Arabidopsis thaliana: one gene and its partners. The protein of the gene in region 2 interacts with the protein of the main gene of each other region in a pairwise test. Each region holds a gene or a part of one and is shown on either strand. Other genes may lie near its edges.

Evidence for each region.
Region 1: the proteins of COL1 (region 2) and SPA4 interact in binary tests that used the Arabidopsis thaliana proteins (3 or more experiments, as listed by UniProt).
Region 3: the proteins of COL1 (region 2) and SPA3 interact in binary tests that used the Arabidopsis thaliana proteins (3 or more experiments, as listed by UniProt).

What each region holds. Positions count from the first base shown.
Region 1 is NC_003070.9:19,777,767-19,788,192, forward strand, and holds SPA4 (SPA1-related 4), read left to right. Parts: upstream 1-5,418; 5' UTR 5,419-5,804; exon of another isoform or gene 5,805-5,917; 5' UTR 5,918-5,981; coding exon 5,982-6,602; intron 6,603-6,678; exon of another isoform or gene 6,679-6,689; coding exon 6,690-6,847; intron 6,848-6,943; coding exon 6,944-7,841; intron 7,842-7,926; coding exon 7,927-8,073; coding exon of another isoform or gene 8,074-8,098; intron 8,099-8,178; coding exon 8,179-8,490; intron 8,491-8,581; coding exon 8,582-8,641; intron 8,642-8,735; coding exon 8,736-8,924; 3' UTR 8,925-9,136; downstream 9,137-10,426. Other genes in the region: AT1G53070 (Legume lectin family protein), read left to right, coding at 605-1,423; AT1G53080 (Legume lectin family protein), read left to right, coding at 3,602-4,453; AT1G53100 (Core-2/I-branching beta-1,6-N-acetylglucosaminyltransferase family protein), read right to left, coding at 9,224-9,720, 9,809-9,924, 10,003-10,078, 10,156-10,426. UniProt on the Arabidopsis thaliana protein: Repressor of photomorphogenesis in the light. Probably part of the COP1/SPA E3 ubiquitin-protein ligase complex.
Region 2 is NC_003076.8:5,172,859-5,183,284, forward strand, and holds COL1 (CONSTANS-like 1), read right to left. Parts: upstream 5,040-10,426; 5' UTR 4,616-5,039; coding exon 3,899-4,615; exon of another isoform or gene 3,790-3,898; coding exon 3,439-3,789; 3' UTR 3,233-3,438; downstream 1-3,232. Other genes in the region: AT5G15853 (uncharacterized protein), read left to right, coding at 5,249-5,449; PCME (prenylcysteine methylesterase), read right to left, coding at 5,818-5,979, 6,081-6,171, 6,248-6,391, 6,460-6,525, 6,615-6,752, 6,845-6,946, 7,043-7,117, 7,377-7,457 and 3 more; AT5G15870 (glycosyl hydrolase family 81 protein), read right to left, coding at 9,783-10,426. UniProt on the Arabidopsis thaliana protein: Putative transcription factor that may be involved in the light input to the circadian clock but does not affect flowering time.
Region 3 is NC_003074.8:5,166,898-5,177,323, reverse strand, and holds SPA3 (SPA1-related 3), read left to right. Parts: upstream 1-4,218; 5' UTR 4,219-4,843; coding exon 4,844-5,551; intron 5,552-5,649; exon of another isoform or gene 5,650-5,680; coding exon 5,681-5,838; intron 5,839-5,942; coding exon 5,943-6,903; intron 6,904-6,987; coding exon 6,988-7,134; coding exon of another isoform or gene 7,135-7,149; exon of another isoform or gene 7,150-7,252; coding exon 7,253-7,564; intron 7,565-7,648; coding exon 7,649-7,708; intron 7,709-7,805; coding exon 7,806-7,997; 3' UTR 7,998-8,229; downstream 8,230-10,426. Other genes in the region: AT3G15351 (P53/DNA damage-regulated protein), read right to left, coding at 31-298, 515-598; AT3G15356 (Legume lectin family protein), read left to right, coding at 1,906-2,721; AT3G15359 (uncharacterized protein), read right to left, coding at 3,543-3,731; AT3G15350 (Core-2/I-branching beta-1,6-N-acetylglucosaminyltransferase family protein), read right to left, coding at 8,442-8,947, 9,121-9,236, 9,318-9,393, 9,498-10,074. UniProt on the Arabidopsis thaliana protein: Repressor of photomorphogenesis in the light. Probably part of the COP1/SPA E3 ubiquitin-protein ligase complex.

The DNA of each region.
Region 1 (10,426 bases), on a different chromosome or scaffold from region 2:
AGTTAAAAATACATGATTTGGTAACTCTATATATTTGAAAAAAATTTAAATGTGTTTGGTAAATGACTAAATGGTTTAAAGAGAATGAGGATAAAGAAAAATGTGTTTGACAAATTGATAGTTATAACAAAATAATTAAATAGTAAAAAAGCTGAGAGAAAAAATGTGGGATTGTCACATAAGCACTAAAAACTTTTAATATATAAAGGACACATAGTATATTGTTAATTAAGAAAAATTTGGTTTTGGTATAACTTAATGAAATATGATAGATTTGATCATGAATGTGGACTAACTTATATCTTTCCTAACCTATATATTAGGACAGACTAACTTATATACATATATAAGTTTATTCAATCAATACTAGTTTTAATTTCCTCCTATACACTCATAACGTTTTTGTTTTCAGCATTGTGGGCACAGAAAAAGTAGAACCATTTTGTGCACTTTCGAGAACAGCTTTTGTCATCTAATGCCATAATTCAAATTCTTTGTCTCTCTTCTCTCTCAATTATTTTAAGTCTTCTCGATCTTTTCAACACTCACATCTTTTAAAGTTCACCACTTTCACTTCCCAAATTCCCAAAAACAGAACTAAAAAATGAAGATCCAAATACTCTGTTTCACCACTCTGTTCTTAGCTATCTTCACCTCTCAAGTCACCACTGCTTACAAATTCAAATTCGATTACTTTGGTAACGGCACCGATCCAATATCATTCCATGGAGACGCTGAGTATGGTCCTGACACTGATGGCAAGAGCCGGTCCGGAGCCATCGCATTGACTCGAGACAACATTCCTTTCTCTCATGGTCGAGCCATTTTCACCACTCCAATCACTTTCAAGCCTAATGCTTCAGCTCTTTACCCTTTTAAAACCTCTTTCACTTTCTCCATTACTCCTAAAACAAACCCTAATCAAGGTCATGGCCTTGCTTTCATCGTCGTCCCAAGTAACCAAAACGACGCCGGTTCCGGTTTAGGCTATCTCAGTCTTCTGAACCGAACCAATAACGGTAATCCTAATAACCACCTCTTTGCCGTTGAGTTCGATGTCTTTCAAGACAAATCTCTTGGCGACATGAACGATAACCATGTCGGAATCGATATTAATTCGGTTGATTCGGTGGTTTCTGTGAAATCCGGTTATTGGGTTATGACAAGAAGCGGTTGGTTATTTAAGGATTTGAAGCTAAGTAGTGGAGATAGATACAAGGCTTGGATTGAGTACAACAACAATTATAAAGTAGTCTCTGTTACGATTGGTTTAGCGCATTTGAAGAAACCGAACCGGCCATTGATTGAAGCAAAATTCGATCTTTCCAAGGTCATACACGAGGTAATGTATACCGGTTTTGCTGGTTCGATGGGTCGTGGTGTCGAGCGTCACGAGATTTGGGACTGGACTTTCCAGAATTAAGAAAACAGGTTTGGTTTGGTTCGAGATCATCGGTTTTCTTTTGGTTTATGTTTCTGGTTTACCCTGGTGTGCCTTCAGCTTGTGATAATTGAAGTGAAATAATTGCTCATTTTATGTCTTACCGACAATTTGATGTATTATTGTTGTCAGATTAGTAGAAATCAAGGACGTTTCGTTCCTAATCTTTTATGTTAGTCACTTTTAAATTACATTTCTCGTTGACAAAAAAAGAAAAAATGATTTTACATTCTATCAAAATTGGCCAACATGACTAGATGAGAATCAGATTTATAGGAGAAATGTGGAGATCGTAGTTATGGGACTATCAAAATAGTCTAAAACATCTTAACATGTTTACCGGAAAAAAAGAGTCTACTACCAACTATGTTGTTTTGTGGAAGACTTTTAAAGAGGAAATGTTACATGCCAAGTGGATTATAACACTCCATGATGCGACTTGGAAAATGAGAGATCTAGGAACGAAGGAAAGGAGGACTTGATGAATTGTCGGAAAGTTGTCTCGTTTCTTTCAGATTATGTTGTAAAAGTGTGATAGAGATGAATGCTCTTTGAGATTATATATCGTGGTTGTATATACGCTCTTTCTCATATCTATTTCGTATTCTCCCTCTTTCAGTGAGATATTTTTTTAGTGTTTTTGCTTTATCCAATTGAAGAGTGTGTCCTCGTTGTCGAGGCTTGGACAGACAGCATCTCATAATTTTACCTACGACGATGTGATTTGACTACAATCATCAATCTGCTAGAATAGAATTTGACGTGTTTTTGGTGGAGGATCGTGCTAGGCAAAGGTGACCATGCGACAAGCGAAAGGAATCATTGATCTAGGACCTCCAAAGTTTTCGGCCTCATCAACAAAACAATAATCTAAAAATGGACCCTTTGCAATATAACAAAGCCTTCATGAACTCTAATTTTTTAAAATGTTTTGTCATTTCTTTGATAACTAGTCCAAAAAATACCAGAACAATCTTTTCTTGCGTTTGGACTCCTTAAATATCAAGACCGGCTCTAGTGGAAATATAATTAGTAGTAAGGATTAGATAAATTTTCTTATGAGTTATTGTGTTTATTCGACTTTAATGATAAACTAGATGAGTACCCGCACTACGTGCGGGTTTATGTATTACTATTTACAAATTGTTTTATATAATGTTTGTTCATATAACATAAAGTAAAGTTGAATGCATCGGTTTTGAAACATAAATATGATTTGTAATTGTTTTTGAAAAGTCCAACTATATTAGTTCATATGAAAAACGAATATGCTTGAGTTGTTTTTTTTTATTGTTGTTCTAGATTCTCAGTTTTTTTAAAATTTATATATCCTTGTTTTTTTTGTTATATGTTTAGATTGTGGGACGGTGAAATTTTAGAAAATTTGTTTCTTATACTAAAAATATAACATGTCTTTATTAACCATGTCTTTGCATATTAAATCTAATCATATTTAACTTGATGTTCTTGGAAAGTTTAGTTAAGTTCTTGTCATAATCTTATATCTTACATATTAGTTATAAGGATAGCTCCTCAAACATCTTTCAAAATACTTGTTTCTTAGCATAATTCTCGAAAAGCTTAGATATATTTAATCTGCATATTCATTTAGTTTCTTTCATAATAATCGTCTAATTTTTAGGCAAGGAATATGTGTAACATGTTTGGATTTTATGATCACTTTAACCACTCAAGTAGATCTCAAAATTAAAGAGGATATATTGAATTAAAAAAAATATAAAAACTGTGATGGTTCAAGTTCTGATTAATTATATCCTCTTATTTTAGTTGTTATGTTAAATTATTACTAATTATTTATTACTAATTATTTATTACTTATTTTATGAAGTTTATGTGGCAAACTCTATGTGCTAATGTGTAAAGTCGTGAGAGAGAGTTAACAATCCTTTCGATTCATAATAATTGTTTTGTTCTTTAGTTTTTTTTTTCCATCCATCTTGAATTCAGAAATCAATGGTTTATCACTAAAAAATAGTCTTTTTCGTGTGCCCAGTTGGCGCTATCATATTTGACCTCTATATATGTTTGAAAAGTCATAGTTGAAGTTCACTGGCTTTCGTCACACTATATATTACAGCACTACTTCCACTTCCATAACACCAAAAACAAAAACATACACACGTAAACAACAAACGCATAATGCAGATCCACAAACTCTGTATTTTTGTTCTGTTCATATCTTTGTTAAGCTCTAAAACCATTTCCGCCGTCAAATTCAACTTCAACCGTTTCGACGGAACAAATCTAATCTTCATCGGGTACGCCGAGCTAGGACCAGCAACCGATGGCATGAGCCGGTCCGGAGCTCTCTCCATGACCCGTGACAACATTCCATTCTCACATGGTCAAGGTCTCTACACAGATCCAATCCCATTCAAATCTTCCAACAACACATCTTCTTCTGTTTACTCTTTCAAAACATCTTTCACTTTCTCCATCACTCCTCGACGGTCAAACCCTAACCCTGGTCATGGTATCGCCTTCATCGTGGTCCCAACCGTAGCCTACGAGTACGACCAAGACTCAACCCGCGGCTTCCTCGGTCTAGTTAACCTCACAACCAATGGCAATCCTAATAACCATCTCTTTGCGGTCGAATTCGATGTTTTCCAAGACAAACGTTTTGGTGATATTAATGATAATCATGTTGGTGTTAATATTAACTCTGTTAACTCAAAGGTTTCTGAGAAAGCTGGGTATTGGATTCAGACAAGAACTAGAGGGAAGAATCAATGGTTGTTTAAGGAAGTGAAGCTTAGTAGCGGAGACAACTACAAAGCTTGGATTGAGTATAAGAACAGTAAAGTCATTGTTTGGCTTGCACCTGCGCATTTAAAGAAACCGAAGAGGCCATTGATCGAAACACAAGTTGATCTCTCGGAGGTGGTTCTTGAGACTATGTATACCGGCTTTTCCGGTTCGATGGGTCGTGGCGTCGAGCGTCACGACATTTGGAGCTGGAGTTTTGAGAACACCGCCAAAAACAATTAGTTCTGATTTTGGTCTTGTTTGGTTTGATTTATGTTTGTTACCGGTTTAACAATTATGTATTTTCTCTTGATTTTTATTCAAAAGTGGTTAAAAAGAGAGTACGTATAAAATGTCAAAATCAAATTTAAAATTACTTTGATCGATTAAACCATTAAAAAAAATCCTGAGAAGAAAACATGCACACTGTCCCGGACCATCACCGTCAATGATCTTCTTGGACATGCATCATTGATTTTGTATAAATAAAGACTCGTTAAAAGCCAAAGCACAACCACGTGGTATTGTGGTCATCGTCCTCATCAAATTGAATCAGTTTGTTCATGTCACAAGTTTCTTAACATAAGTTTTTAAAAGATATTACTAAAATTTAAAACTAAAATATTGACAAATCCACGATATATAAGGTTAAAGCTATCACAGTTTCTAGGTCGTATCATTTTCTACAAAAATCTTGCATTACATTTCAGATGGTTTGGTTTCAATAAAAAAACAGAGTTTTTTTTTTTTTTTCATTGATAAATTTGTGTATGTAATCTAATCATAGAAAAAGAAAAAACACGTGGCGTGTCCGGACGCATGTGATTTTGTAATTTACCACTTACGTTGTCGACTTGTCTCAATCCATTCCATGGAAATGGAAACTCCCCTCTGGTTATTAAATGCTCCCACCAATACATTCTCTTTCCTTTCACCAAAACCAATAATACAAACAATTTTGTTTTTCTCATTCAAGATTTTCAAAGTACAATCATTTCTTTAGGTACTTTCTCTTGTAATAAGGCTTCAAATATGTTATTCAAAAATTATTTTGGTCATTTTAAATTCCTATTATAGCCTTACAAAAATGTGTTATATTATTTGGACCACAACATAATTTAAACATTCCTCTTGAAGAAAATTGGTCACTTCAAAAAAGAACAAAATTCACTTTGACCTCATGGTTTACTTATATTTACATATATGGCCCAAAACCAAAATACGAAAAAGGTTTTAGCTTTACGTTCTTTTGATTCCTAGGTCGTCGTTTAACCACGTTGCTTGCGTGGAAAGAGAAGAGAAGTGAAGATTATCAAAAAGCGAAAAATAAAACCCTCACTGTGAAGTAAAAATCGTAGGCCCAAAATAGATTTCTCTTAGCCGAGAATTTAATTTTTATGAATCTGATTATTGCTTTTCTACGAACTCAGTTTTTGCGATGTGTGGTTCTCAAAAAAGGATCGTTTCTTCGGTGCCTCTTAGTCTCTCAAGTACTTCTTCTTCTTCTTATCTTCTTCTTCGCTTTTCTTTTATATATAGAGAGAGTTTAGTGGTCAAGAAGCTTCCTCGTGTTTGTCTCTTTATGTAATCAAAGGTTGCATTTTTATTCGAATATATTTTCTGGTTTTGGTGTTTTCTGTCAAAGGGTCTTTTAAAAATCTTAACTTTCGTTCTAAATTTCTTTACTTTATTTCGATTCTAACTTAGGGCTTTTGGGCTGGGATCATGAAATGAAGTATTGCAGAATCCAGAGGAGTTTGTTTGGTAATCAATGAAGGGTTCTTCAGAATCTAGTTCCAGAGGATTAAACAACACCTCTGGTGTTTCAGAGTTTTGTACAGATGGTTCTAAGTCTTTGTCTCACATTGATTATGTCAGAAGCTTACTTGGTTCACATAAAGAAGCTAACTTGGGAGGACTTGATGATGACTCTATTGTCAGAGCTTTGGAATGTGAGGATGTTAGCTTGCGTCAGTGGTTAGACAATCCAGACCGATCCGTTGATGCCTTTGAGTGTTTTCATGTTTTCAGACAGATTGTTGAGATTGTTAATGCAGCTCACTCTCAAGGCATTGTTGTTCATAATGTTAGGCCTTCTTGTTTCGTTATGTCTTCGTTTAACAATGTTTCGTTTATCGAATCCGCTTCTTGTTCGGATTCCGGGTCTGATGAGGATGCAACAACAAAGTCTCGAGAGATTGGTAGCTCGAGACAAGAGGAGATTCTATCAGAGAGACGAAGCAAACAACAAGAGGAAGTAAAGAAGCAACCTTTCCCTATGAAACAGATATTAGCAATGGAGATGAGTTGGTATACAAGTCATGAAGAAGATAATGGTTCTCTGTGTAATTGTGCTTCTGATATTTACCGTCTTGGTGTTCTTCTCTTTGAGGTTTGTGCGTAAGAAGATTTGATTTTTGTTCTTAACTGCTTTGTTTTCTTGAGAAAACTGATTTGATGAATGTTAGTCTTTGTGCAGCTATTCTGCCCTGTCTCCTCAAGAGAAGAGAAGTCAAGAACTATGTCTAGTTTAAGACATCGTGTTCTTCCCCCTCAGATATTACTCAATTGGCCTAAAGAAGCTTCCTTTTGCTTGTGGTTACTGCATCCTGAGCCTAGCTGTCGACCATCGATGAGGTGATGATTGATTCTCTCTTTGATGTTTTTAGTTTCAATTGGAAAAGTTTTGTCCTTTAATTAAGAGTATTGTCTCCTTTGTCTTTACTTTTGCAGTGAGTTGCTACAAAGTGAGTTTATCAACGAACCTAGAGAGAATTTGGAAGAACGTGAAGCTGCAATGGAGCTACGGGATAGAATCGAGGAACAAGAGTTATTACTCGAGTTCTTGTTTCTGATTCAACAGAGGAAACAAGAAGCTGCAGACAAATTGCAGGATACAATATCGCTTCTCTCTTCTGATATCGATCAAGTCGTAAAGCGACAGTTGGTTTTACAGCAAAAAGGGAGAGATGTCCGTTCGTTCTTAGCCTCAAGAAAACGGATTAGACAAGGAGCTGAGACCACTGCAGCAGAGGAAGAAAATGATGATAATAGCATTGATGAGGAATCTAAGCTTGATGATACTCTAGAAAGTACACTTCTTGAAAGCTCTAGATTAATGAGAAATTTGAAGAAACTGGAATCAGTCTACTTTGCAACACGATACAGACAAATCAAGGCTGCTACTGCTGCTGAAAAACCGTTGGCTAGATATTATTCGGCATTGAGTTGTAACGGTAGAAGTTCAGAAAAGAGTTCAATGAGCCAACCATCAAAAGATCCTATCAATGATTCTAGACAAGGCGGGTGGATCGATCCATTCCTCGAGGGTTTGTGCAAGTATTTGTCTTTTAGTAAGCTAAGAGTGAAAGCAGATTTGAAGCAAGGAGACTTGTTGAACTCGTCTAACCTTGTTTGCGCAATTGGGTTTGATCGTGATGGAGAGTTTTTCGCCACGGCAGGCGTCAACAAAAAGATCAAGATATTCGAATGCGAGTCGATAATAAAAGATGGCCGGGACATTCATTACCCTGTTGTGGAACTTGCTAGCCGGTCTAAGCTTAGTGGTATATGTTGGAACAGTTACATTAAGAGCCAAGTCGCATCAAGTAACTTTGAAGGCGTGGTTCAAGTAAGTTCAGAAGAAAACTCTCAACCTTATTAATCAATGAAAAGTATGAAAAAAAATCTTATAACTAAGGCTAATATTTTCATAGGTTTGGGATGTTGCAAGAAACCAGTTGGTTACAGAGATGAAGGAGCATGAGAAGCGTGTATGGTCCATCGATTATTCATCAGCAGATCCAACATTGTTAGCTAGTGGTAGTGATGATGGTTCGGTTAAGCTCTGGAGTATCAATCAGGCAAACTTCGAAACTAAACCAAAACGTATTTATGCTCGGAAATGCGAGAATAGTTCTTTTGAGGGATGTGTTTTTAACGGTTGAGTTCGTTTTCCTCTGTTTCAGGGGGTTAGTATTGGAACCATCAAGACAAAGGCAAACATATGTTGTGTTCAGTTTCCATCAGAGACGGGTCGGTCTTTAGCATTTGGCTCAGCAGATCACAAAGTTTACTACTATGATCTAAGGAACCCCAAGCTTCCTCTTTGCACAATGATTGGTCACCACAAGACCGTGAGTTATGTTAGATTTGTAGATTCATCAACACTTGTTTCTTCTTCGACGGATAACACGCTGAAGCTATGGGACTTATCAATGTCTATTTCCGGTATTAATGAAACGCCTCTTCACTCATTCATGGGACACACTAATGTTAAGGTATATTTTTTTCGAGATTCGTTTCTATTGCTTCATTTCAAGTTTGCTTTATGAGATTACAAATACATTTCTGTTCTTGCATTGTGTGTAGAACTTTGTTGGATTATCAGTCTCTGACGGGTATATAGCAACAGGCTCTGAGACTAACGAGGTATGTCTACTCTCACTTCATAAATATACAAAAGAAGAACTGTTGATCCCATTTGTCAATAAAAACCGTGAATTTCGTGTGCTTCACTGGACAGGTTTTTGTGTACCACAAGGCATTTCCAATGCCGGTTTTGTCGTACAAGTTCAAAACTATAGACCCTGTGTCGGAACTCGAAGTAGACGATGCCTCGCAGTTCATATCCTCAGTCTGCTGGCGGGGACAGTCGTCGACCTTAGTTGCTGCAAACTCCACCGGCAATATCAAGATTTTGGAGATGGTATGAACCAATATAAAGTGGCTCAGAAGCAAAATGGTAATATTCCAGGGTTTGGATTGGTATAGGAAACAATTTTTGGGAGAGAAAGTAGGAAAAGTGAAAACAATATTGTTGCTACTAAAGAATTGTGTATATAGAAAAAATATATGATATCTTTCTATTTGTTGTATAGTACTTATTGTAAACCCTAATGACACAGGTGGGCAACTTAACATACAAGTAATAATTATTTACTTCAAAAGAATTATACAATCAAGCTGTGGTGTGTATAGAACTGCAAGATTCTCTCCAAGCTGCTTGATTCTTTATACACATTGATTCTTACCTAATTTAGCCTCTGTAACTAACCTATCTACAAGCTCCTTGAGCCTCACAGCCCCTGAGCTAGGCCTGATCCTAGCCACATCTTCGACAACCGAGCACTCTGGTTTCCCACCGCACCAACCGCCTGGAGTAAAACCGTCTTCGTTTATCCGTATAAGCAGTTCCTTATCAATCTTATCCAAAACAGTATCATTTCTTCTGAACTTCCGACCAAATGCAGATCCGCTCGAAATCATCTTTCCCATGTCTCTTTGAGACAACATACGAGGATGCTGCCTCGGTGGCTTGTCCCATGCGATGTAGTGAAGATCATGGTTCACCGCGGTTTTGGAGAACTCAGGCACGTTACATATGACTGTATGGAAGTAACCTTCAGGAGAAGAAACGAAATTGGTGTAGTACATGAGTAAAGTTCTTGGTAAATTGTCCCAACCGTATATGATATACTCCACGAATGCGTGCGATAGAGCCATCCAAGCTGATCCTACACAAAACAAAAAAGTTTCAAGCTAACAAGAACAGAGTAAAATATGTTTTTAAACCAGGATTAGAAGAACAGTACTTACCGGTAAATAACTTGAAAGCAGAAGGTAAACTTCGATTAGGTCTAACCAATAAAACGTTTGATTTGTTTAACATATAGAGTCCAGGATCAATTATTAATGGCATTGCCCGCTTCTTGCTTCACCGTGAGACACAAGAAACTTTAGAACTAATGAAACACTAAAAGAATTCAGAAAATGAGAGAAAAAAAACTTACTATTTCCAGCCTAAGGAACTTGTGTGCTCGATAAAGTTAAGGTTCCGGTCCAATGTCGAAAATGTATGAATCAGATCTATAAACATAGAACAGTTTTTGATAGTCTTAACAAGGGGAATATCAAGAACACAAGGAAAAGATTGAAGCATTTACCATCTTGAGTCACGAGGGGATAATCCGAAGCACTAAGATTGATAAACCAATCCCAATCCGGGGTTCTTTTAAGAAGAATCGCACATGCGTGAAGCGTATTCGCCACCATTGTTGGTCCGGTATAAGTCACAAGATTAGCTTTAGTTATCATATATACATTTCCTGCTTTTGAATACATAGGATCGTTTGAAATGCGAGAAGCTAACTCTGATCTCTCATCAACCGGTGATTCAAGATCCAAGTGAACAATGTATTGGTTTCTTGGATGGTA
Region 2 (10,426 bases):
TCTTGCAGCTAGTTGAGCTTTTGGGAAGGCCTATGTGTAAAGTGTAAAGTGTAAAGTGTAAAGTGTAAACATCTCCTCCTATGCACTTCTTCGTTGGGACCCGTTCACAAGTTGCTTAGGTTTTGCCACTTGCCATACTGAGATTCTCAAGAGGAAGTGGTCCGGATAATGCCATGGTGTTGCAGGCAAATTGTTACTATTTTTTCGTATCACCTTTTACTATTTTCATATGCATTTTATTTAAAGTAAAGCTAGATTCGTTTTATCTCTTTGGCTTTATACAAAGTTTAAGTGGTTGAATATTCATCCTGAACCTTGTGATTACTGTTCAGGTATCTCTCCGAGTAAGGCTTCGAGTGTCAGAGCCATCACCAACTGTTATGGGTTGACTACCTATACAAAGGTTAGACAAACTCGTGAATATGGTATAGTTGTTGTTCCATTATTTGTGAATGCATCTGCATCATTTAGAAAGATTTGCAATTGAAACTTTCGAAGGATTTTCTGATGAAAAGTGTTATAATGTTTAATCTGGTTCATAAAGTCATGGTAATGAGAATCATATCGGAAAAGTGACATGAAAAACATAGAGACGGTGGATTTTCTAGGATCAAACTCGAATCCGCCAAGTAGTCTTGAGACTACAAATTAGAATTTACCTGACGCACAAGTTAAAACTTAAAAGGCATTTTGGAGTCCACATGAGCAATAATTAGATTTATCATATATAGTATGTAGAAATTTGCACTTGGTAACCATTATAGTAAGTAGTTACAAAACATGACTCATGAGTGTTGTCACATCTCTGTAATTTGGGTTTATGATGATACTCTATACTATTTATTGTAGCTTTATTAGATCTCAACCTGTGGAAGTAATCTAATACAAACGACACTTGTATGGAATTTTCAGGACATGTTTCTAAGATCACAGAGGTAATTGTGAAGTTTTCTGCTACACTCATTTACTAGTCCACATGATCCATAGATGCAATTTAACCATCTTCACTCTATTTGGTGACCCATTCATGTGTTTAGCATCGTGGGTTTTCCTGTACTAATAACCATTAGTACTTGGAGTTGCCTTGTTGGTGTTATGCTCATAATGTTTACTATGTGGAAGCTACAGGATACGATACTCTCTAGGTTTGAGGACTAGCTCCAGTTACGCTTTTGGGTCCAGTGAATGTATGATACCCATTATGTGGTCCAAAAAGAATGAGATTTGACGGACGCTCTAGTGGCCAAATTCATATGGCTACCTTCACTCTATGCCTTAAGAGCTGAAAAGTGAGTGTTTTTTTTTTGTATAAAATGCTGGTCCTAGGATACACTTTTCGCATCTCTTCCTCTTTCATATTTGCTTACACCGCACTTCTCTTTCCCATTTTGAACTTTAAACTTTGAAAAGTTTTTTTTTGCTTGGTAATTGGAACTTAACATACAAGTTCTTGTTATTTACTGGTTTTACGATGAATGTAATGGCATTTAGAATTGTTATGAAATGGTTATATGATCATTGAATTCTAAAGAAAAGATTCTAGGTTCTTTAGTAAGCATTTTTGGAGATCTTTATCCTGCCAAGTTGGATAAGTTGAGGCATCTTTGGCTTTTAGTGCTTTGGTGATGAAATTTTTTGGAGATTGTAACGTGGTTCGAGTTCATGAAGAGTAAATTGTGTATTGGCCTTTTCACTTGTAGCTCAAGAAAAAAGTAGTTTTGCTTATTATTGCTCGTTGACAGTCTCTAATTAAGTTTATTGTTGTAGCGGTTTGGAACTTCTCTCACATGTGTAGGCCTTCGGATAACTGTTACGAGTAATAGATCATATGTAACAATATCCTCAAAGTTGCATCGAGATTTTCAAGAAAACACTATTGCTTATTTGTTTTCATTCTTTATCAGGTTTCCGTGGTTTCGAATACTTTGCTTCTTTCAGATTAACGAAAACCCTATTTAGTTGCAAAGACTGAGAAGAGAATAAGAGTCGAGGGACCATATAAAGCTTGTAATTGTACGTTTATGCGGATTCTCCACTTTCCATGGCTGTGAGAAACTATCTGAGGAAAAGTGCAGTGACCTTTGGCAAAAGGTAATCACTTTTATGCACTTTCACGTGCTAGCTCGAATCCACACCAAATAGTAACATTCTATTGGCTCTGAAACTCATAGTGCTCCAAGTGGTTGTCATTGCATTTTAAAAATTCCTGACAAGAAATTTAGTAGAAACTTTGCTACTTCAAGTTTCCTTCTTTATGATATGCTAGCTCGTATTATATGCAACATGGGATATCTTTGTTTTGCTTGTGTGGCTTATAAGTTTATGTTGCATGATCAAAACAGATCACTGAATAAATTTTCTGGTGGTCTGAGAACTCGCTGCAGTGAATGAATGAGATCCATGTAAGTGGCCCCAAAAGAACATAATTTACAACACTCTGGTAGGTAAATTCATGTGGATACTAAAACTGACTCATTTATGGCTAAAAAGTATTGATTTGGTACATGAATTCATCAGCTTAACCGTTGAAGTGGGAAGCTATCCTAGTGGTAAATAAGTTGATCTCTGGCCCTTTCCAGGTGGCAAAAAGTGAAGGCTTTACAGTGTCACCCTTTTTCTTTTGGTTGCGTCGTTATTCTTTAGTGCCAGTATATACCTTGGAAAAAGTGAGCTATTATTCTAAAAGATAGACCAAGAAATAGATTTCTCACACTGAATATCTTTGTTCATTTGGATGGTCCATAGGCATTGACATATTCTGCTAGTAGTGGTTGTGAGTGATAGAATCTTGTTATCCGAGACAACCTCGTGGGAATGGATTTAGCACCAATGCTAATCACTAATCAGTACAAGAATATGCGTTGATGTAATTGTACCTATTAGCATTGTTCACTCAGGATTCTTGGTTATTTGTTACCTGACTATTCAGTGTGTGATTTTATTGGAGTTTTACATGTTTACACTTGTCTCTGTAATCTACTTTTGGTATAAAATCATATTGAGTACAACTTTCTTTTCTCAGGGATGTGCGAAATTGTCTTTGGGGCGGCATAAGTGGAATCATTTATCTTCTACGTGATAAAGTGATGTGGAAAGTGTCACCAAGAAAGGAATCATTAACTTTGAACTTAGGCAAGGTGAGTTACGTGTTGACTGTTCTTGGTACAGCTAGCTATACTAATGCATATCTCTTTGTAGCATCAGTTTGAATTTAGACTGTAGGGCAGTATTTCATAGATAAGAGGACTTCTACCAAGTGGGCAAAATTTGTATTAACTTACAGCAGCTAAGTATGAGTGTATATCTAATTAACTCGTACTAGTTAGGCAAAACTAGTAAACTACAGACCCTATATGCATAAAACCGTGGTAATAACTTGCAGGAATTTCAAACCAGAAGTAATTTACAAGCATGCAGTCTAGTTTTGCCATAGCAGCATCAGAATGATGGAACAATTCCATATCCGGTGTCAAATGTTATCATTGTGGAGAAAGCTTGGTTTGCCTCTTCATCGACATCTTTCTTCTTTGCAAACCGGCCCTTGATCCGTGGTCTTTTCTCTGCATACGCTTTCCTTGAAGCATATCTTATCGTCTTCTCAAATTTCCTCATCTTCTTCTTCTCTCTGTATCTCAGGACTCTAGCTTCTCTGTCCCTTGGACTGAGCATCTGAGCTGGAGGGTAAGGTGGTTGGTCTGTTACCGCTTTGGGCGATCTTGGGTTTGATACTGTTGCGTCACTCGTTGTTGACTCCGGCACAACTCCCAGGTCCATAGATGAAACATTCACCTAATGACAGTAACAAAGACATTCTTAGAAATTTACTTCATGGATTTGTGTGAAAGAAGCAGCATGCTGGTCATAGTAACGGATCTGAATTAAATATATGAAAGCTTACCATATGACTGAGGGAACCATTGGAGCTTCGAAGAGCTCCCCAGGAGCCACAGTTGATACTCAGCTGAAAGTTCTGTTGCTCTTGGTACATGCCCTTTGATACTTCAATTTGAAGTGGAACAACTCCATCTTCCCCATAGCTCCTCTGAGGTACGTTGCAGTCTAGTTGATACTGATTGGATTGATCTGTGAATTGCTTATCACTCGAACTATAATCAACAAGGTTCAGAAACTCATCCCCAATCGAGAAGCCATTGTTGTTACCACTGTTTTTCCCTGAATTAGGCAACAACCATGAAGCCGCCTCTGCTTCATCTTCATCCTCTTCTTCTTGACCAAGCACAAGTCTGTTCTCTGGATCTGTCACTGTTGTCTCACATGAATGGTTAGTGGCCGTGGAACTGTAAGAGTACTCAGAAATGGGCAGAATTGGAACTCGTTGATGGCGTCTAGCAAGTGGGTTTGCGGAATGAATCTCTGAATCACAGGTTGTGCATAGAGATGCAGCATCTGCCTTGCAGAAAAAGGCAGCCGGGGCTCGCTCACATGATTGACAGACTCGAACACGTTCATGGCGGGAAGCAAGACGATTGGCAGCATGAACTTGAGCATCACAACTGGAGCACAAGTAGGCAGAATCAGCCCGGCAGTACACGGTGCAGGCGGCTGATCGGCATGTATCACAGGCTTGTGCCCAGTTACTCTCTACTTTCAACATACTAACCGCAGATGTTGTAGTTGTTTGATGGTGAGTGAGATCGTATGTAAAGGCAGCAGGGGACTAAGAAGGCTATATTAGTTGTTGAATGGAAATGGAAAGGAAGGATAGAATTCTGAGGGCTGGACACGTGGCGAGAAGTTTGTGGGTTTGATGTTGAGTGATCATCTTGTGGCTGGCTGAGTTTTTGAGAAGGGGTCCAGTGCAGAGATGCTTACAGCTTTGGAATCATCAACCAGCACGAAATGTGAAAGAAAGAAAAAAACTAATTGTCTTCTTATATCTTTGCAATGGCACCAATAGTTACTACTTTTTCTCTCTTTCTTCCTCAATAAGTGTAAACACCTCTTCCTATGTAATCTTCTATAGGACCCATCCACATGTTACCTAGGTTCTGAAACGTGCAACTTCTAACTATTTTTGTATCATCTACTACTATTTTGGTAAAGCTGGAAACTTTAGTAGCTCTTTGGCTTGACCATTAGCCTAATGTTTATCTTGATTCTTAACTTTTGCCATGTTCTAACTGTTCAGGTTTCTCTCATCGTCTCATGATTTCAATTATAAAAATTAAATGATCACTGTTTAGCATTGTTAAAAAGATTATGACTCTTAACCATTTGTTATCTTCGAATGATGCTAGGTGTCTTTTTTGGTGATATGTTGGAGATAATAGATATGGCATGTCCTAACTTTGTTTCCTTCCACATCAAGTCGGTCAAGCTGATTTGGCCAACGGTGGAGATCCAAGGAGCCAATTGGAATCTGCCAAGTCGCTACGAGTCTCTAGAGATTAGGAGCCACAAGTTGAAGCAAATGGTGGGTCCAAATTAAGGTGAATAACGATAGTTATATCAACATCACCTGTGGTCTGTTTATACAAGTCCAATTTGCTTATGATCACCATCATATTTCATAGTTACAAAACATGTATAAGTCTATCAAGTGTTTGTCACATCTCAATCACCTTTTTGAGAATATGATAAAACTCGATATTATCTTTACTAGCTTTTATTAGATTTCAAACTTGTGGAAGTAATCATATTCATGTGTTCAAATCTACATGGGTCAAATAAATTTGGTGGAGCAACAAAGTTTGTTTTTATTTACATGATGTTCTACTGATGCAATTAAAAACACAGCAACTAACAAAGGTAAAAACTGAGGATCAACAAACAAAGCTTGTTTTCCTTTCTTGGCAGTCAGAAAGGGCTAATCTCACGAGCCAGTTTCAGTAACAACTCTGGTACAAGACGCTTTCTGGGAGGAGCCAACGAGTCTTTGGTCAGCCCATCATTGTCCTCCGCATGTATCACAGAGACTATGTCATCAAAGAGTTCGTCTTTACCTCCTCGTAAGGGATCCTATAAACAATACTCTCATGAGTTTTATTGTACTCACACTGAGCTAAGTGTTTGTGTGTGTGACACAATGTAAGGTAAGTTGACTGATTTATGTGGCTTACCTGAAGAAATAAGTCAGTATGTGTCTTTCCGCTGTATAAAACAAGCTCGGCTTTTGCTCCAACAGCTTGCAGAGCGTCTGTAAAAGTTTTGCTGCAAACGAGGTGGTTTTAGTATCCCAAAAGGTTTCATCAGTAATGTATCACTTCAAGAAGATGATCATATATACCTTTCATCGCATGGTATGGAATAATCTGAGGATCCGTGGAAAAGTATAATAGGAGGTAAAAGAGAAGCAGCTTTTCCAACAACTGGGTCTTTCAGTCTTACTTCCGGAGAGAATTTCTCAAAGGACTCTTCTCCTTCCATTATGCTGCAAGTTGGAGTTGAACATTAGATCTGATCAGACTGCGTTTAGGATTTGGTTAACCAAGCATTTACCTTAGGAAAATCGAGCGATACAGACCCCGATTATGGAAGTGATCAACCAACTTGTATAGATTGTACCTATTGAAGTTCAAAATGATAAGCAGATCAATTGCTGTAGACCAAAAAGCACATAGAAGCCAACGGGAATCCAAAAGCTTAGAAGATACCCTCCAGATAATCCAAAATAAGCTTTTATCTGGGACACTGTCCAGGAGATGCTCTCTCCTTTTAATTCTTTAGTAGCTTGTTCCAATAGAGCACAAGCGGCTATATGGGCACCAGCTGATTGCCCCATCAGGTAGATCCTAGAGAGACAAGCAGATACATGCAGTTTAATAGCCGAGAGACCAATTGGAAGATCAAATGGTAAATAAAAACAAAGCCAATGAGATGAAACCTGTTGGGGTCACCTCCAAATGCAGAGATGTTATTGCAGACAAATGAGATTCCTTGAGAAGCATCAGTCACCATATCACTAATTGTTCCCTGAGGAAAGTTCCTATACCATAAAGAACGGATTGCTTGGTAAATGCATGAAAGTTCTTCCTATATTCATAAAAGACGACTAGTTTTTTGAATTGTGTAATTTGTTTACCTGTAGTCAAGGCATGCTACAATGATATCTCTTTCTGCTAGCTGCATTCCCAAGAGCGAGCCCCAAGCTTTGTACCTAAATATCAGTACAAGATTAGCAAACATGAACTTATTAACAAGCAACCAGCTAGTACAAGAAGATGAAACTTGAGTGAGTCAGTGAGATAAGAATACAGAGCCCATCATGATCTTTACTTTTTTCTTTTTGTAACTCAAACATCAACAAAAGAACAGTGAAGGGGAAAACTTCTATAAGTGGGACACGAGAAATTGTAAAACAAACAAATTTCAACATTATGCAGAAGAGAATGCTGTAAATCTGATGTGCAACCCACCCAATAATCCAAGCTCCACCCGTCACAAAAACCACAACCGGCTTCAAGCCATCGTTGTTGCTTGGCAAGTACAGATCCAGCCTATCAAATCACCGTTCATACATCAATAATCTCAAGACAAAGGTGATGTGATAAAAGCAGGCATTCAACATACCACTTAAGGCCGATGTGAAAGGAGAAGGTAAGATTCTATTCAGTTCACACACAAACCTGTTCCTTGGTTGATCTCCATACACTATACTCCTCCGGACTTGCTTTGAGAAAAAATAACTATATGCAACTGCACAAGATAATACAAACTTGAGACGAGGAATCAAAGACTAATTTTCCAATTAAAACAACATCTTAATCAAAAGGAAAAATCCTTTCTATGAATTTATTTATCAGCAAAGAAAAAAAAAAAAAAATCAAACCTTGAAGAAAGCCAGGCATAAGAAGCATAGCATAACATGTAAGGGCAAGTAATTTTGTCATCCATCGATAGCCTACCCTGAACAAAACTTAACAATTAGATCAATCCTTGCTCAACTGGAAATATAAAAAGAAGAAGTTAAACAAGAGCAAAACAACAGCACATGGAGTAACTTTCATAATTAGAGTAAAGTTCCAAAATAAAAGACAGAGAACTTTTATATATCATTGGATTCTTTGCAGAGCAAGGCAAAGCCAGCTAATATCTACACGAATTACCTCCCTAAGCGTAATCATCAATATACCTAAATCCAAAAACAGGGACAATCGAGATCAGTACCCGAGGTATCGAAGAAGCTTGAAGCTAAGTCCAGTAATTAGATACGTTTCAGCTGCCGCGTGGCCGATATCGCGACCGAACGATTGCTGCCGGAAAATCCGACGAGGTCCTTCGTCAACCGGCGACTTCCCGGAAACTCGACGACGTAACGGTTCACCGTTAAGAAGAGTCGTTCTATCGGAGTCCTCATCGGGTAGAACTTCCTCGATCTCCGATACCGTCGAGGTCATCGGCCAGCATCGCTGCTCCGGCTGCTGAGTCTGAAGAGGCGAATGCATCTTTTCCGCCGTGAAATAGTGGATCTCGAATTCCAAGATTCTTCGTGTTGCTCTTCTCTTTTGAATTTCAAACTCTTTTTGTTATCTTCGCTTTTGTGCGCTTTCCATTTCCTTCTACACGAGGAATGTAGTAAAGTAGTGTGTAGATATAACCAAAAGTTTGTACAAGACGACGACGTTCTTAGCTCTTATTGATGACGTTTGATCATGTAATGATGTGTGATTAAAGAGAATCAAATGTCAGACAGTAATGAAATTATTCGCAAAATATTGATTATTCTAAAATGTTTGTTAGTCATTTCATTTGTGATTGGATGGAGTAGTGTGACGACTTTGGAAGCTAGTATTAGCAAATCATGGGCTTTACCACGTTCGGAAAATGCTAAAACTCGTGGGCCCAAAGTGTGACGAATATTTCCGAATCTAAGAGAAAGTTCACGAATCACGATCCACCAACCACTACAACCATACCACTGGTTTTATTTTATACGAGCATCACAGACAGACGTATTCGATACTTCGATATTACCAGTGACCAAAACAAAACAAATCTATATTTGGGTAAACAAAAGATAAACCGGAGTGGAGCCGAGCCACCTTATCCAAACTTGCAGCCACGTCTATTCCATCATTTCATCAGAAACAAAATCCACACAAAAAACATATTTTCTTGAAACGAAAAAAAAAACTTATTACTCGATGATCATGAAGCACTAGCTTATCCACAAAAAAACCAACTTGATCCCAACTAAAAATAGGAAAAGACTTTGTTTTGGTCATCGACTATTATATATAGAGTCCAATCACAATCTATCTTGTTCAGATTTTGTTTGTGGCCATATTCTTTGATCTCTTTTTTGAAATCTTCAAAAGCATTAAAAACACCATGACGTCTAGATTTGTGCTTCCATGTACTACTCTCTACGTTCTTTCGGTAACACTTATCTTATCATTATATATCCCTCTCGCATCTGCGAAACGATCATTAGAAGAAGAAGAATCAATCATATGCCCTTATAACGACAAGGGATGTCTATTATATCTGAATGAGTTTGCAATGGAACATATCAACAACCATAATGATTATGAAGCAGCCTTAGCTTCTCTGGAGAAGGAGTTTCAAGATCATGACAGAATTCACTTGATACACAAACCATACATGCACATGACTGATTCTTCCCTTTATAATACTTTAGACATATAGAATTCTGTATATATGTGGATATTCTCATAGAGAGATCATTGGTGTAATTAAGAAGAAAGGATTTGAAAAGATCATCGAATCATTTCAATTATATGAAGCTTCATTATATAAAACAAGCTAAAATTAACATTGATTAATAACAAACCAAAACGCAAACAACTTTTTATTAAAGCTTAATGACAATAATGACCAAAGGAACAATACTTCCCGCCACCGCCATGACCACCATAACCACCTTCATCGTCTTCTTCATAATCATCATCATCATCATTGTTTCTACTATGAACCCACCACAACAGATTACTTAAAGAGTTCCCATCATCAAACCCATTTAATCCTTTAATCTTCTCCATTGCTCCATCTTTGTCGTACATACTTTCCAAAGCATACACAAATCCTTTCCACCCTTCTCCGACGCTGTCTCTAGCCAAAGCAGGCATTGTCCAATTCACGAGCTGTTTCACGAATGTCACGTCCGAGAACAGAACTTCTGATACCGGAAGTAACGGTAATAACTGTATCCCAAGGCGACATTCTTTCCACTCTTTAGGCGCGAACCATAAGCCACTGTCTCTCTTTGTTGACCATAACACTCCAACCACACGATTCTCCGATGTGAAATCTTGCGGGTAAATAGCGTCGTCTTCTTTCACCTGCCACCACATTTTCGCCGCGTGAATCTCCAGCGTCAGAACCATCGAAGCAGCCGCCACCAAATGTGTATCCCCATAAGCTAGCCCCAACAAAGCAGCGGAGTAATACGCATTGACAGCCTCGCTTGTACTCTCTTGATTCCTCCCGTCAGCGAACTCCGTTA
Region 3 (10,426 bases), on a different chromosome or scaffold from region 2:
GTAGCAAATAAATGTAAACAAAGATGATACCTTTCTCTAGCATTGTATGCACAGCATGAAACGGAATTGCAGCAAAAAGATCAGCTCCTGGGAGCATCATCCAGGTGGGTTCACTAGAGTCATGGGATCCACATGTGGAGCAAACTTCTTGGACCAAAGGTTTCGTTGAGCTCCCATGGATATCCTTCATCATAGAATCAAATGGAGACATAACACTAGTCTTTGTTGTCCGAGCTCTCTTCCTTAGTGCTGTAAGAGCCTCTCGGTTTGCATTCCTCTCCTTGTCATTCTCCACCATCTATTACACATATTACAAGCTCCATTTTGGTTAAAAAAACTTATTGACCTAACAACAATACATATCATATAATATCTGTTTTCTCACAAGACAAAATAAGTTGCAGACAACAATAGATTGAAAAATCTTGTGCTTTCCTCAATCTGTCAATCACATATAAATTACGAAGTAGTGAATATTTCCAACTAGATACTACCAAAGCAGATTCCCGAGTACCTGATTTCGAGCTAATAGAAACTCATCAGCTTCAGCTTCAATTTTGTCCAATAGTGCAGCAAACTTCTTTGGATCCAAATCCATCTCTAGTCTAACAGATTCCAACAAACAAATAGGCTCAGAATCAAATAAAGCATTATTGGTTGAAGGGGAAAAAGGAAAAGATTTGATAAGTGGTATAGTCAATCTTCCTAATCCTGTACATCTCCATGTTAACCTACATCTTCATGCACAAATCAAACCACAACGAAGCCAGAAAAAAAGTGAAGCTATGGATACTTTGTTTGCTTAAGCTCAATTTCAAAGACTCTAATTAGTACCATAAGCCACTCCATGTTTTCGTTGTATGTATGTACCAACATCATACTAAACCTTTCACCATCGTTTCAGCTTCTATTCTATAGAGTGATTATTGAATTCCCAAATTTTTCAATATTGATACGATTAATGATTTCATCCAATTTCAGAGAAACGATTATAGAAATTAACAATTCTGATAAACCCTAAATGGTTAAAACCCTGAATTCCGAAACCCTAAAACCTAATTCACAAAATCTCTCGTTCCTACGATGCAATAACGAAGGCAACCACAACACCAACAAAAGTGTAAAACGATTCTTTAATTCATTTTTGCAGCATCTTAACAAGAGGGCGAGACGAAGTAACTCAGAAACAAAATAATAACCTTTAAATGGATTTACAGACGAAGATTTAATAAGCAGAGGTCCGGTGAGAATCTCGGTGACGCAATGAGAGGGACGAAGTTTATTAACAATATAAATTACATTAAACCCCCGAGTTGAGTTATGGGCTAGGTATTTGGGCTATAAAAGGCCCGGCCCACTAATCATACCATTGAAAGGTGCGATCGTTCCCGCCGTCGTATCGTAGCACAAGAAAATGTAAATTTTATTTATTTGGTATTTAAAAATATACCTATTTAATAATTTGAGATGATAAAGTCATAAAACAGAGTAACTTTTTTGCATCCAAAAACGAGTTCGTGATATCAACTAAGCTTGTCAATGTGTTTTTTTGTACACGAGACATTAAAATTCACAATGTTTCGTAGAGAAGGGGACAAGAAACACATAATATAATCAACCAATTATTATTACTCGAATCCATTATAATATTTTTTCAAAAGGATAAGATTTTGTTCATTGAAAGACATCTGGGTGGGTCCATTTCACTGCTAAGCCCCTTGTGGTGGCGTCTCCAACGCATCCACTTGGCATTGTTTATTTGACCACTTTTTCGAATCATAGATTTTGAATATTCAAGCTCGATGGCTTATGTTAACTCTTATATAAACATATTATCAACCTCCAAATATTTTCATCATCAATCTTCTCCACACTTGAATCACAAACAACAACAAAAGAAACACAATGCAGATTCACAAACTCTGTTTTCTTGCTCTGTTCTTAGCTAATGCAGCTTTTGCCGTCAAATTCAACTTCGATTCCTTCGATGGCAGCAACTTGTTATTCCTTGGAGACGCTGAGCTTGGTCCTTCCTCTGATGGCGTAAGCCGATCCGGAGCTCTTTCCATGACCCGAGACGAAACCCCATTCTCTCATGGTCAGGGTCTTTACATCAATCCAATCCAATTCAAATCTTCAAACACTTCTTCTCCTTTTGATTTTAAAACTTCTTTCACTTTCTCCATCACTCCTCGCACCAAACCTAATTCTGGTCAAGGCCTTGCCTTCGTCATTGTCCCAGCCGCTGATAACTCCGGCGCTTCCGGCGGAGGATATCTCGGAATCCTCAACAAAACCAACGATGGAAAGTCAGAAAACAACCTCATATTTATCGAATTCGACACGTTTAAGAACAATGAGTCTAATGACATTAGTGGTAACCATGTCGGAATCAACATCAACTCGATGACTTCTCTTGTCGCTGAGAAAGCTGGTTATTGGGTTCAGACATTAGTCGGAAAAAGAAAAGTTTGGTCGTTTAAAGATGTGAATCTTAGCAGTGGAGAGAGGTTCAAGGCTTGGATCGAGTTCAGAAGCAAAGACTCTAGGAATACCATTACCATCGCCCCTGAAAACGTTAAGAAACCGAAGAGGCCTTTGATCCAAGGTTCGAGAGTACTCAATGATGTTCTTCTTCAAAACATGTACGCTGGTTTTGCTGGTTCCATGGGACGTGCCGGTGAGCGTCACGATGTTTGGAGCTGGTCGTTTGAAAACTAAGTAAACCGGTTCGGTTCGGTTCAGTTTGGCTAGGTATCGTTTGCTTTGTTTTTGTAATTGTTGTAGAGTGAATAATTAAGGTATGAATAAAATAAGCCGACCTGTGGCTTACTCTGCATTGTATTTTCATATTTGTGTAATCAGTCTGAATAATTCAGAGGTTTTCAATAAAATAAACTTCCTTTCCAAATTCTTTTTTTTTAGTAACTGGATTTGCATGATTTGCAAGGTAGGAGATTGTATTAAGCTCTATACAACATCAGTAGCTCTAGACGTCGTCTTATTGTATTTGTCATGGATAGTTGGATACATACATGTTTCTATCGATTGAAGATGATAAAATAAAAGGAGCAAATTATTGCATCCACGCAATGAAAACGGTTTATATTTAAATAAACGGAGGATAATTTAGCTTTGTTTGTTTTCTTCACGGAATAAAATATAAAATATATCTTCCCATGCAGAAGATTATAAACGTGGAATGTCTTAGATTTATACACGAAATATGAATTAAACAAATGTTTCATTTAAGATAGGGGACACGAATTACAAGTAGTAGAATCGATTATTATTCGACTTCAATAATCAAGAATATCGTTTTTTTATCCCCAATCGGATAGATAAACACACTAGATAGGTCAATTTTGTTGGAGACTCTGGTGGCGTTTGTAACGCACCCACTTGGCGTTATTGAAATGACGCTTCGAATGAAATAATTGTTCTGCCGTAAAACAATTTCAAACTCGATGTCTTACAGTGACGAAATGACGATTCACAAAACTCTGTAATCTTGCTTTTTGACACCAATTCTTCTCTCAAATTTAACTTCGAAACCATGCCTGGATAGTCTCAACAAAACCGACAATGGCATTCTCAAAACCCAACATCTTAGCTGTCAAATATGATCGCATTGGAGACATGTTGGTCTGACATTTAGTTTTGTTATGGAGATCGCTCTTAAGTTTTTTCTTGAAAACATGTCCACGGTCCACCGGTTTTGCTAGTATCATGGCACATTTGAGTTGGTCGTTCGAGAAACAGCGCCAAGAACAGCTAAACCTAAACCGGTCCAATCCAGTTTAGGTATTGTCTCAGAGACTGGTAACCGGAGCCAAATCTTTATTTAGTTTTAAATATGCCTTATTGTTTTGCTTTTGCATTTGTTAATTGGGTTTATAGGAGACTCAAGAGAGGACTACATGCTTTGAACTTTAGTGATTCACTCCTCTTAAAAGGATCTGGTCTTTATTTTTGTTTTTGTTTTCATAAGAACCTCAATTATGTACCCAGAATTAGTTGCTGTTCTGTTGGGAAGAAATAAAGGAGCCTAAAACAAAAAAAAATGTTTCTTAATTCCAGAGCAAAAGTTTGAAGATTTGACCCTCAATGTTTGTCTAAATTTATACATTTGGCACAAAAAAAGGTCATTCCTTTTACGTTCTGTTATTTGTGAGGTCGAAGATTAACCACGTTGCTTGCGTGTAAAGAGAGGGTGGGTGATTATCAATATTGAAAAAAAAACTGAACTGAGAGATATATTATATAAATATATTAAAGAACGATTTCGACAGTGAATCGTTTCTTTCAGCAGTCGTTTTTTTGTTTTTATTCTAAAAGGCCGAGAATTTATGAGGCTGAGAGAGAGAGCCTTCTTCTGCTTTTTTTTCCGAGTTTAAAACTGTGTTTGGTGTTTGTTTGTTGTGTGGCTCTGTTTCAATCTCGTAAAGATTATTTCTGGGTGGCCTCTCTCCTTTAGATACTTCTTATCTTCTCCCTCTCACTAATTTTGCGGTAAAGAAGCTTCCTTTCTTTTTTTTGGCTCTTTACATGATCAAAAGATTTGCATTTTTTCTTGTATATATTTTTATCTTTTGAGTGTTGTTGTTCTTAAATGGGTCTCCTAGGTTCTTGAGTTTTCTTCTGTTTATAGCCTAGGGTTTGTTTCTTGAGTGGGATCACTTAAAAAAGGGGCTTTACATTGTGAGAGTCTAAGTTCTTGGCGAATGTGTAACGATCTTTAAGCAATGAGCTGTTGAATCCGAAATGATTCCAGTTAGAGTTGGGAATACAGAGAAGTCATTGGTTACGTGTTGGTTTCTGGTTAGCTTTTGGTGGATGTTAAATGGAAGGTTCTTCAAATTCTAACTCTAGGGGATTCAATACCTCTGGTGTTTCAGATAGGAACACTGAGTTCTTACCTGTTGAGAGACTCACTACTCGTTCCAAGCCTTCCTCTCATGTTGATGAGTATGTCAGAAGCTTGTTTGGTAGTACTAGCACACACAAGTCTGGTGAAGATGATTCTTTAGGGATTGATCCTTTTGTTAGATCCTTGGAATGGGGTGATGTTAGTTTGAGACAGTGGCTGGATAAACCTGAACGATCTGTTGATGTTTTCGAGTGCTTGCACGTTTTCAGACAAATTGTTGAGATTGTGAATGCGGCTCACTCTCAAGGCATTGTTGTTCATAATGTCAGGCCATCATGTTTTGTCATGTCTTCGTTTAACCATGTTTCGTTCATTGAATCTGCTTCTTGTTCGGACTCTGGCTCTGATTCCTTGGAGGATGGTCCAATTAGCCAGAAGGAAATCGGTAGCTCGAGAAGAGAGGAAGCTGTATCGAAAGCTATTGCAATAGAAGAGAAAGGAGTCTACAATAAGTTGTTGGAGAGAAAAATCGAGAAACTAGAGGAAGAAAAAACCCAACCTTTTCCGATGAAACATATATTAGCAATGGAGACAAGTTGGTACACAAGCCCTGAAGAGGATTTTGGTTCTTCAAGTACTTGTGCTTCAGATGTTTACCGCCTTGGCGTTCTTCTTTTCGAGGTTTGTGATAAAGAAAGAAACATTGTTTCTAACAAATTAGTAACTGCTTTTGGATTCAAAGTTTCTGTTTTTGTTTTGCGTGTTTATTTTCTTGAAAAGGTGATGAGATGAAAGTTAGTCCCTTTGCAGCTATTTTGCCCTGTACCTTCAAGAGAAGAGAAGTCTAGAACTATGTCTAGTCTTAGACATCGCGTTCTTCCGCCTCAGATATTGCTCAAATGTCCAAAAGAAGCTTCTTTCTGCTTGTGGTTACTGCATCCTGAGCCAACTTGTCGACCATCAATGAGGTTTACATATTGTCTTATACTTCATGTTCTTAGGTTGAGCATTGTTAGTCTCTGTCATCTTTTACTACATGGAACTAATGGGGAATTTGTCTTTTATGGTGCAGTGACTTGCTGCAAAGCGAGTTTATAACTGAACCTAGAGATAATTTGGAAGAACGTGAAGCAGCAATCGAGCTTCGGGACAGAATCGAGGAACAGGAGTCGTTACTCGAGTTCTTGTTACTGATTCAACAGAGGAAGCAAGAATCTGCGTATAGATTGCAGGATACTGTTTCACTTCTTTCTTCTGACATTGAGCAAGTTGTAAAGAGACAGTTAATTTTGAAGAAAAGGGGAAGCTCACTCTCTGATTTCAGTAAAGATGATCATCAATATACCTCTGGTCAGCCATTGATGAGTTTCCAGGCAAACGAGGAGCCATCAGCATTCTTGGCCTCAAGAAAACGGGTTAGACAAGGGATTCTGGCATTGGAAAACGGTGTTGAAGTTGATGAAGAGAGTCAAGGAAGCACACTTCTTGAAAGCTCCCGGTTGATGAGAAACTTCAAGAAACTAGAATCGGTCTACTTTCTGACAAGGCGCAGGCAAATGAAGGCTGCTGCTTCAGGGAAATCATTAACTAGACATTCGCCGTTAAGTAGTGAAAATGGAAGAGGTTCTATGATTGTCTCAGAGAAAAGTTCAGTAAGCAACCCGGTGGCACCCAAAGCTTTCTTCAATAATGACTCGAGACAAGGGGGGTGGATAGATCCTTTCCTTGAGGGTTTGTGCAGATATTTATCATTCAGTCAGCTAAGAGTGAAAGCTGATTTGAAACAAGGAGATTTGTTGAACTCTTCTAACCTCGTTTGCGCTCTTGCGTTTGACCGAGAAGGAGAATTATTCGCCACTGCGGGAGTCAACAAGAAAATCAAGATATTCGAATGTAACTCCATAGTAAACGATAACCGGGATATTCACTATCCGGTGGTGGAATTGGCTGGTCGGTCAAAGCTAAGTAGTTTATGTTGGAACAGCTACATAAAGAGCCAAATTGCATCAAGTAACTTTGATGGTGTTGTTCAGGTTAGTTTTACATTCAGCTCTAGCGTTATTAAAAACTTCCAGTTTCATAAAACCAATTTGGGATACATATGTTTTTGTTTTCAGATATGGGATGTTGCAAGAAGCCAGTTGGTTACAGAGATGAAGGAGCACAAGAAGCGAGTATGGTCCATCGATATTTCATCAGCAGACCCGACTTTGCTGGCTAGCGGAAGCGATGATGGAACCGTTAAGCTCTGGAGTATCAATCAGGCAATTCTAATTTGAAATGTCGGCTATTGAAAACTGAAACTGATTTCTACAATAATGCAAACATCTTCATTCTCAGAATGTATGATTAAGAGTTTGTTTTTCTTGGAAATGTTTTCAGGGAGTTAGCATTGGGACCATCAAGACAAAGGCCAATGTATGCTGTGTCCAGTTTCCATCAGACTCCGGACGGTCTCTAGCATTTGGTTCTGCAGATCATAAAGTGTATTACTACGATCTTCGAAACCCCAAGATTCCTCTGTGCACAATGATTGGTCATAGCAAGACAGTGAGTTATGTCAAGTTTGTAGATTCATCCACTCTTGTGTCCTCTTCTACTGATAACACACTGAAGCTTTGGGACTTGTCGATGTCTGCTTCTGGGATTAATGAATCCCCTCTTCACTCATTCACTGGACACACTAATTTAAAGGTAACATTTTACCCTGAAATATGCTTTCAAGACTCTCTTCGGTCTCCGGTTTCTGAGATGTAATGTTCTTGTGATGTGTTGCAGAACTTTGTTGGCTTATCGGTCTCTGATGGGTATATAGCAACAGGCTCAGAGACTAACGAGGTAAAGGCTTGATACAGAAAGAAAAATGAACTTTCTGACAGATTGTCTCCTAAAAACTTGATTATCTGAGCTTCTTGTTGTTGTGAATCTATTACAGGTTTTCGTGTACCACAAGGCATTCCCAATGCCAGTGATGTCGTACATGTTCAACAACACTGACTCTATGTCTGGTCTCGAAGTGGACGATGCATCACAGTTCATATCTTCAATCTGCTGGCGAGGACAGTCGTCTACGTTAGTCGCTGCTAACTCCAATGGCAACATAAAAATTCTGGAGATGATGACTTGAGCCTCTCATAGATCTCTTGTTCTTCTTCTCCGCAAGAGATATGCTCTGCTGGAGTGATTGATATAGGGTAAACCATTTTTACCAAAAAAAAAAAAAGATAGGAAAGTGGAAACATTGTGTATAGAATTTCTATTGAGAAAAAAAAAAGAAGAGAGGATACAAATATTGGATCTTTGTATTTGTATATTCTGTTATAACTGAAAACATCTCAATAAAAAAAGGTTATAATTTTATTGGATTTTGAAGGAGATGACTTCAAACAAACAAAAATGAATCCCAGTAGGTCGTGGCATTACAAGGCATCTCTACTCAATGCAAACAATGTCTAATAGTCTTATCTAAAGCCTGCAACTGCAAGATTCTCTATATGTTGTATAAATATATATATCATGACAGTCGCTCTCCATTACTTCGATAATGGTTCTTTTTTTCTTCGAATTCTTTCTATTTACACTGACTAACTCCTGTATTAGCTTCGTTGACTAACCTGGTCACAAGTCCTTGAAGCCTCTGAGCTCCAAAGCTAGGAACAATCTTAGCCACATTACCGACCCTGGAGCATTTTGGTTTCCCACTGCACCATCCACCAGGAGTAAAACTATCTTTATCATTCCTCCGTTTAAGTAATTCCTTATCGATCTTATTAAGTACTTCATCATCTCTTCTGAATTTCCTAGCAAACGCAGCACCGCTCCATATCATCGGCATTGTGTCGTTGAGTGACAACACGTGTGGGTGCTGCTGCGGCGGATTGTCCCAGGAAATGTAGTGTAGGTCATGGTTTACTGCAGTTTTTGCAAACTCAGGCACGTTGCAAATCACGGTCTGGAAGTAACCTTCGGGCGATGAAACGAAGTTGGTGTAATACATTAGGAGAGTTCGTGGTAAATTGTCCCATCCCCATATGCAATACTCTACAAACGGGCGTGATAGAGCCATCCAAGCTGATCCTGTGACAACAACAGTAACGAAAAAATATTTCAAGCTTTGATGCATATGACTAGAGTTTTGGTCTTATAGATATACAACAGCACCGAGAATAATGCTTCAAGATTTGAATGGTGAGAAGAAGTTTTGATCCAATGTACATTCAAATGCAGTTTAGAGGGATTAGATGACTGACCAGTGAATAACTTAAAGGCAGTTGGCAAACTTCGGCGAGGTGTGACCCAGTAAATATCAGATTTGTTCAACAAGTAGAGTCCAGGATCAATCATTAATGGCTGTGCTCGCTTCTCCCTTCACAAGGAAACAACAACTCAGTCCACTAGAACATAAGACTAAACCAAATAGGAAACTCAAGAACGTGAATATGCTCACTCTTTCCATCCCAGTTGACTTGTGTGTTCGATAAAGTTGAGGTTCCGGTCCAATGTTGAAAACGTATGAAGCAGATCTTCAAACACACAGAGATTATTGACAGTAAGTTAATCAAAGACAAGACTGAAGAAATATCTTGATGCAAAACTAATAAGAAAGTGAGATCAAAGCTTTTTATACCATCTTGGGTCACCAGAGGATAATCTGAAGCACTAAGGTTAATAAACCAATCCCAGTTCGCATTTCTCTTGAGAAGAACAGCACAAGCGTGAAGAGTATTTGCCACCATCGTTGGTCCTTTATATGTCACAAGGTTAGCCTTGGTTATCATATATACATTCCCGGTTTTAGAGTACATAGGATCGTTATTAATCCGAGAGGCCAGCTCTAATCTCTCATTCACAGGTGATTCAAGATCCAAGTGAACAACATACTGGTTTCTTGGATGGTACACTGCTCTAAGTGTTCTCCAAAGCTTTTCTACATCCCCTTTAGACCCGGAAACAAGGTATGCAAAACGGGGAAGCTTGTCTTCATGAGGCAAAACACGGGTTTGTCTAGCAACTTTAGACTCTGCAAAATCAAGTCTCGTTTGGTTCTTGACGAGACGGGAAGGTATGATGGAGAAAATCCCGTTGATTGTTCGGAGGGAAGAGACTAGTCCCATGTTGAAAGAAGTTGCAAGAAGGAAAACGCAGACGAGAGATGTGATGACAAGAGGAAAAACCCATCTCTTCTCCACGTTTACATACCCCATTGCTGAAAACTAGTGATCATGAGACAAGAAGAAACAAACTTCTGAAACAAAACCGGTGTCTTGCAATATGCAGAGACAGAGTGGGAGCTGATTCACAGCACTCTTGGAAACTTGGAGCTAAAAGCCTTAATCTTTCAGGAATCCGCAACAATCTTCGAGTTTCAAACACAAAAACCTATCAGCAAGCACAAATGTTAGAGCTCTAGTAAGTTTCTCAGAGCCAAATACAGAAAGAAGAAGCAAACTAGAGAACCCAGCCGACACATTTAAAGTTCCCAGATTCTCACGCAACATCAAGCTCAAAGTTTAAGAATTACGAAACAGTATGATTAAGATTAATTCAATCAAGAAC